Linked DNA regions of Callithrix jacchus. The protein of the gene in region 2 purifies or fractionates together with the protein of the main gene of each other region. This does not show direct contact. Links are inferred from orthologs where the notes say so. Each region holds a gene or a part of one and is shown on either strand. Other genes may lie near its edges.

Region 1 (4,171 bases), on a different chromosome or scaffold from region 2:
ATGTCACAACCCTCTAACATACTGAAAAACATTCACCTTACAATTTAAATGAGTGAACTGTATGGCATTTGAATTACATCTCAATGAAGTTATTTTTTTAATGTGTAAGAAAAAATTTAAGTGAACTTATCACTGTAAACAAAAATGATACAAGTTGTAATCCATTTTCAAGATGCAAGAATAAACACATACTTTTGGGAAAAATAAGACGTAAAGAGAAAACAATTAAAAACCAAAGGAAAATTTGTTTTTAAGTGTTAAATGCCCTGCCCTTAGGAAATGATATACTTAAATAGGATTCTGTCTGAAATATGAAGCCTTTGAGGTCTGTGTCTCCAATGTCCCCAGATGGGCAGGAGGCACCCTATCCCAGGGCACACAGAATGAGAGAAATAAACCGACTACTGACACCTATCAATATATGTTGGCTAGGCAGAGAGGTAATTAAAAAGGCAAGACCTAGCAAAAACAGTCTGCTGTTTCGCAGCAAATGAGTCTTTGAGGGAAAAAACCATGCATCATTACCTAATCCTTACACCCTATGTGTGCTATCTGGCAACCATTTTAAAGGACAACTCATCCACTTTCTTTTTTTCAATTTCAGACTTAATTCTTCTGATGAATCATGAGCACAATGCTTGCTACAGGCCAATGGCTGTTATCTCATGCCTGCAATTATTTTTGTTTTAGTAGTAATACAAAAAAACTGATGTACAAAAGAAAAAAAAAAACTGATGTACAGACAGAGTACAGATATCACTTCTCCCTTATTGGCTGAGAATCTCAAAGAATTTAATATCTTTCACTAGTGACATACCATTACACATAAGCTGAGGGACAGGGACGTAGTGAGGATTACTTTCAAACTGCAAAGCTTTTTTTTCATTGCTAGATGGAAACAAGTGTGGAGCATGCAGGTACGGAGCCTGCGTGACACCAAGTCACTGTGTGAGCTTTCCGGGCCATCAAGTGGAGACAGTAATTACTCCTAACTTCCTCATAATGTCTTTTTGTAATTATAACACAAATATGAAAGCACTTTGAAAACTTGAAGGTGTATTTATGACTAAAGAAATGGCCGGGCATGGTGGCTCACGCCTGAAATCCCAACACTTTGGGAGGCTGAGGTGGGCAGATCACCTGAGATCAGGAGTTTGAGACCAGCCTGGCCAACATGGTGAAACCCCGCCTCTACTAAAAACACAAAAAATTAGCTGTGCCTGTAGTCCCAGCTACTTGGGAGGCTGATGTGGGAGAATTGCTTGAACTGGGGGAGGTGGAGGCTATAGTGACCCAAGATTGTGCCAGTGCACTCCTGCCTGGGCAACAGAGTGAGACTCCAACTAAAAAAAAAAAAAAAAAAAAAAAAAAAAGCAAAGAAAATTATCACTAGCCAGGAAAAAAAAGCCAAACTAGTGATATAAAAAGTTCAAGTTCCCAAGATATTTAAACCTAAACATAGCTAATTTGGAGTGGCGGTCAACTGGTAACTTCCAAAACATTAGTAGGCTGTCTGAATTGTTTAGCGCAGAAGCCTATTTAGCTCACCAATCATGGGCTGTCACTACCGGTAGGGACTGTCACCTCCCTGGTCAGATCTCTGAATACGCTTCAGTATGCAGGGCTGAAGACTGTTCTGTTCCTTCCCTCAGATGTGGCCCCACAGCATTAGAGGTGCCCATGCCTGACGTGGTATAAACAGGTTGCCTGCGGAGAGTGTAGATAGTCACTTTTAAAAGGTATTGATAGGCTGGGCGCAGTGGCTCACGCCTCTAACCTCAGCACTTTGGGTGGCTAAGGCAGGAGGATCATGAGGTCAGAAGTTCGAGACCAGCCTGGACAACATGGTGAAACCCCATCTCTACTAAAAACACAAAAAATTAGCCGGTGTGGTAGTGCGTGCCTATAATCCCATCTACTTGGTAGGCTGAGGCAGGAGCATCACTTGAACCCAGGAGGCAGAAGTTGTGGTGAGTGGAGACTACACCACTGCACTCCAGCCTGGACGACAGAGCAAGACTCTGTCTCAAAAAAATAAACATAAAAATAAAAATAAAAGGTATTGATAGAGCGCAAATTATTAAATCTTAATGGAAAGCAGGGCAATTTTTCAACATTTCATTAAAGCATATATAAGAAATCTGTTTCCTGATACATATAGCTAAAAACAGGAGGCATTACATTTAAGACAAAACAAGATTCTGAAAGGTGGACGGAAGGAAGCAGACTGGCTAGGAACCACAGGACCCAAAGAAAGAGCACTGAGTTCTCTTTTTTTGTTTTCAGTCAGGATCTCCCTGTGTTGCCCTGGCTGGAGTGCAGTGGCATGATTTCAACTTACTGCAGCCTCAACCTCCTGGGCTCAAGTGATTCTCCCATCTCAGTCCCCCAGGTAGCTGAGACTACTACAGGCACATATCACTACGCCTGGCTAATTTTTGTAGAGACAGTTTCACCATGTTGGCCAGGCTGGCCTCAAACTACTGTCCTCAAGCGACTCTCGGACTCTCAGGTGCTGGGATTATAGGTATGAGGCACCACATCTGGCCAAGCACTGAGTTCTTGATTTTCTTTTGCTTCATATGTCTCAGACACCAGGTACTGCAGAAGCCTATAACCCAGAAACGCCAACAGGTACAGACAAAGAAAACTACAAAGAGAAACCTGTTCTCTCTAGCCAAAGGACCAGGAAAAGAGCAGCAAGATGGAAAATGTTTAAAGTTTTAAACAACAATTGCTCTACTGCAGCCAAACTCCACAGGAAACATACTTACTCCACTCAGTTGATAGAGAATAGAGCCAGGGACTTTCATCCCCACCTGGTGAATAATGACCCCTCCTCAACTCACTTCCTGATAAATCAGTGGAGACCAGGTAGGGAGTCTGGATTTTAATCCCATCCAGCTGTAATGAAGCAGCACCCCTCCCTTCCCAGGCAGGGTGATATCACCAAGGCTTAATGGGGAACTCTTACACCCATTAGGTGCAATAACAAGGAGCCCCTCCCCTCCAGGCACCCCACCCAGCAACAGTGAGGCGGCAACCCCTCCCTGCCCCAGCAGAGGAAGCTTGCATTGCTCAGAGATTTAAACAAGATCAAGAGTCTCATAACACAACACCCAGAATGTCCAGGTTGCAAATCAAAGATCACTCTTTATATCAAGGACCAGGACAATCTTGGCCGGGAGTGGTGACTCACACATGTAATCCCAGCACTTTGAGAGGCTGAGGCGGGAGGCTCACTTGAGGTCAGGAATTCAAGACCAGCCTGGCCAACATGGTGAAACCTCGTCTCTATAAAAATACAAAAACTAGCCGGGCATGGTGACACATGCCTGGAATCCCAGCTACTTGGGAGGCTGAGGCAGGAGAACTGCTTGAACCCGGAAGGTTGCAATGAGCCGAGACTGCACCACTGCACTCTAGCCTGGGCGACAGAGTGAGACTTCCATCTTAAAAAAAAAAGTTTCAGCAAAGATACAGAGAATAGACATTTCAGAACTGAAAAATGCACTAAGCAAAACAAAAAAACTTAAAGCATGCATTAAATGGCAGAATAAGGAAGACAGAGGAAATCAGTGAACTTGAAGACAGAACAGGGCCTCAGGGAAATGTGGGACTATAAGAAAAAATCTAATATTGATGTCACTGGAGTACCAGATGAAGGCAGAGGGAGGGGCTAGAAAAGCATTCAAAGAAATAATGGCTACAAATCTCCCAAATTTGGCAAAAGGCATAAATTTACAGATTTACGCAGCTGAGAGAGAACCCCATACAGCATGAACTCAAATAAATGCACAAGACACATCATAAACAAATTTTGAAAACTGAATACAAAGAAAAAATCTTGAAGGCAGCCAGAGACAGAAACGGTGCATTATATACAAGAAAAAAGGCCTGTAATCCCAGCACTTTGGGAGGCTGAAGTGAAAAAAATCACTTGTGCCTAGGAGTTTGAGACCAGCCTGGGGAACATAGCAAGACCCTATCTCTACAAAATTAAAATTTTAAAAACATAGACAGGGCCGGGCACACCCAGCACTTTTGGAGGCCAAGATGGGCGGATCACCTGAGGTCAGGAGCTCAACACCAGCCTGACCAATATGGAGAAACCCCATTTCTACTAAAAGTACAAAATTAGCTGGGCACGGTGGCGCACGCCTGTAATTCC
Region 2 (3,647 bases):
ACAAACAAACGAATCCTTTCTCCCCAAATTGTATAGAGTACAGGATGATCACAATGCCAGAGGTTTTACAACAGTAAAACCCTAAGAACAGGTATATACACTGGCAATGTTATGTGTGAATGAATGGTTTATAGCCTAAGCTTCATAGTGGGTTTTGGCGTTCTACCTTTCATTCTAAGATACTGGCTTCAGCCAGGCACAGTGGCTCACCCCTATAATCCCTGCACATTGGGAGGCTAAGGTGGGCAGACTGGTTGAGTCCAGGAGTTTAAGACCAGCCTGGGCAACATAGTGGGACCCCGTCTCTAAAAAAAAAAAAACACAAAAATTAGCTGGGTGAGGTGGCGTGTACCTGTGGTCCCAGCTACTCAGGAGACTGAGGTGAGAGGACTGCTTGAGCCCAGGGGGCAGAGGCTGCAGTGAGCCAAGATCGTACCACTGTACTCCAGCCTGGGCGACAGACAGGGACTGTCTCAACAGTATAAATAAATAAAAGAAAATTACATGACCAGCCTCAAATGCTTTCGACACCTAAGGCAGGGTAAAGCCCAGTAAGTACAAGCCATACTTCAACACCTAAATAACACAGCTCTATCACAAACCTGCCACCCACCTGACCATCACACAGGTGACAGAAACCGCGAATAATTTTCTGTTTATACAGCTGGTCTGCTTTTAACTCCATTCGGCGCACAGTCTGCATCATCCTGTAGTATTTGAGCCCATCCTCCCTGGTGAGCACTGTTGTGACAGGAGGGCCTTCTTCCAGCCGGTGAAGGTCACATTTCTGCAAGGGAGTAAGGTGGTTACTATCCTCCACATACTACACTGCAAACACTGTTGACCACTCTGAGGCCTAACTCCATTGCAAATAATATTGAACTTGAAAAGCTGCAAAGGAGCACATTAGTGATGCTTCATATTGCCTCTGTTCCTTCAATCGGTACACCTCACTGTGCAATGAGATGGGGCTTGAGGGGAAGGAAATCTTTCTAAGATGATTTTCACTGAAAGCCCCTAAAAGCCAACTAAGTTACAGGTTGAAAGAACCTTCAAAGAAACAACTAAGACTCTTCTTATTCAAATATCTCACTGAGTTACATTCTAAACTTTAGAATAAGCTTTTATTTTTATTTTTATTTTTTAGCTTCTCCCCCTTCACCCCACAGAACACGAGCAAGCCACTAATAATAAATTCTAGTTTTTGTGACACTTCTCTGAACCTTTGATCCTGGAACGTTAAGAAAATGATGGCTCAGCATGAACATCAAAATGTTCTATTCTAAAGGTAAAGCTGTGTATCAGAAAAAATTATTAACGAAGTAAAACACTTCTTACCTTAATTTCAAATGTAGCATCATTTGCAAAATTACGGGATGCTACCAGCACTCTGCTTGCCTGGAAAGACAAAAATATACAAGCAAATCAGTACTTTTTAATTGTCAGCAATTTTGGAAAGTACAATTACTATTCATCAGTTACCAGGATGAAATTAAGGAAAGTTAATAAGCCCCAGCATATGCATGGACTTCTCTCTCACTCTGTGCACTGTGCCTGCATCCTCCTTGTCCTCCAAAATGAATCCATGCTTTGGCCAATGAAACACCATCATACCGCCATCTGAAGGCAAGCAGTGCAAAGAGAAAGGGGCAAAAACCAAACCCATCCTTTGTTGTCAAAGAAATTATAGTGAGAATATAATGAAATTAGTGGCTAAAGAGACTAGGTCATCTGTGAGCTGAGTTTGTTTTTTGCCATTCTTTTTTGAGATCGAGTTTTGCTTTTGTCATCCAGGCTGGAGTGCAGTGGCACTATCTCGGCTCACTGCAACCTCTGCCTCCCGGGTTCAAATGATTCTCCTGCCTCAGCCTCCCAAAGTGCTGGGATTACAGGCTTGAGTCACCGCGCCCAGCCTAATTTTTGTATTTTTAGTAGTGACGGGGTTTCATCATGCTGGCCAGGCGGGTCCTAAACTCCTGACCTGGTGATCCACCTGCCTCGGCCTCCCAAACGGCTGGGATTACAAGCGTGAGCCGCCGTGCCCGGCCTGTTTATGCTATTCTTAGTCATAACCCGGTACTGTTCATTTTAAGCAAGCTGAAATTATACTTCAAATAAAACCATGATTTAATCCCCACTCCAGGCAAACTTCACTCTTCTATCAAATTGGATCTGCAAGAAAAAATACTTTAAATTGGTCGAAGTCTGAGATAAACACATTAGGGAGACGAGGTAAAAGAACACTTAGCCCTCTTGACTTAAACATAATGGGCTTGAGGCAGCTGTTTTATAATTTACAATTTAAACAGTCTAAATCTTGGGTAGGCTCCTCTTGAAGCCCCAGTGGAAAGAAACGTTCTTTTGATGTTTGGGTGGCTATCACTGTTTGGAGGTAAAAAGCTTTGGGGGGAAGCGAGAAATGATTCCTTTCCGGTTTTACAATTGAGCAAACCTGCTCACAGCAAGTCTTCTATGCAATGGCTCAGGTTTAGGTTAGACCACAAAATGTATCCAGTTAGTATTATCATATTATTTTAGCCCCGTTCTGCCACACACTCACACTGACATGTAAACCAAGATGACTTCTCCATAAAAAGCACATCTGACGTGTTCATACCTTACCTAGTCCAGCACTGGACTGGATCTTGGTGAGAAGAGTTAAGACTGATCTGCCAAGTTTATCCTGGAGTGTACAAGCCAACAGGCAGAAAGCTAATTACGCATCTCTTCACCCCTCAATAGACCATCATGGGACAAAGCCGACAAACACAGACTATGACACTGCTGGAGGAAAACAGTTCAAATACTAGGAATCAGTGTTTCCATTAACTTAGAGGTAGAGACAGTTCCCCAACATATCTCAGAAAAAGTGTATTTGAGAAGTCAAGCTGAGACAGGGTGAAATAGCAAATGAATGGTTACGCCTGGCAATCATCAAACAGACTGTTCTTGGCAGTTAATAAATTATTTTGTGAGGTCAGAAATTGTTACTGTATTGTGAAATAAATTTCCAAATACACCTACAGAAACTGCAGTTTTTGGAAGGCAGGAGTCCAAACCAGCCAGCTAACAGTAACAGGGAAAAGGTAACTTCTTTCTCAATCCCAGAGTTGAAACAATGAGGTAAGATAATGCTATACAACGAGGAGCAAGAGGGGCCGGTGCACGTGCCTGTAATCTTGTGCCTGCAAAGATTAGGACTGCCAGAAAGCTACTCAGATAGTTCTCCCCTTGCTTCAGTATCGTGTATCTCAAAAATAAGAACCACTGAGATGAGTGAAAGCAGCGAAGTTAAAGAAGCTAAAAGTCCTGTCAGAAGTGCAAGTATATTGTAATTTCTGAGTGAGAGCTTGTTGAAAAGATAATTTTGCCATTTATTTTCCCTGGAGAGCCATAAAAAGATTCTCTGTTAAATGGGATTCCTCTCTGACAGAGACCACGAACAACCCATTGAAATTAAAAAATAAAATAAAAACTAGGCTGGGCATTGTGGCTCATACCTGTAATCCCCAGCACGGTGGGAGGATCACTTGAGGCCAGGAGTTCAAAGCCAGCCTGGGCAACATAGTGAGACTGTCATCTCTACAAAAATAAAAATTACAAAATTAGCCAGGTGTGGTGGCGCACACCTGAAGGTACAGTGAACT

Evidence for each region.
Region 1: the proteins of PDHA1 (region 2) and OGDH fractionate together in Homo sapiens (co-fractionation; 3 studies listed by BioGRID). This does not show direct contact. The link is inferred for Callithrix jacchus from reciprocal best matches to the Homo sapiens genes PDHA1 and OGDH.

Annotation. Positions count from the first base shown.
Region 1 is NC_133512.1:12,701,928-12,706,098, reverse strand, and holds the start of OGDH (2-oxoglutarate dehydrogenase complex component E1), read right to left. Parts: upstream 2,920-4,171; 5' UTR 2,814-2,919; coding exon 2,775-2,813; intron 1-2,774. UniProt on the Homo sapiens protein: 2-oxoglutarate dehydrogenase (E1o) component of the 2-oxoglutarate dehydrogenase complex (OGDHC). Participates in the first step, rate limiting for the overall conversion of 2-oxoglutarate to succinyl-CoA and CO(2) catalyzed by the whole OGDHC.
Region 2 is NC_133524.1:19,820,682-19,824,328, reverse strand, and holds part of PDHA1 (pyruvate dehydrogenase E1 component subunit alpha, somatic form, mitochondrial), read right to left. Parts: intron 1,399-3,647; coding exon 1,339-1,398; intron 788-1,338; coding exon 614-787; intron 1-613. UniProt on the Homo sapiens protein: The pyruvate dehydrogenase complex catalyzes the overall conversion of pyruvate to acetyl-CoA and CO(2), and thereby links the glycolytic pathway to the tricarboxylic cycle.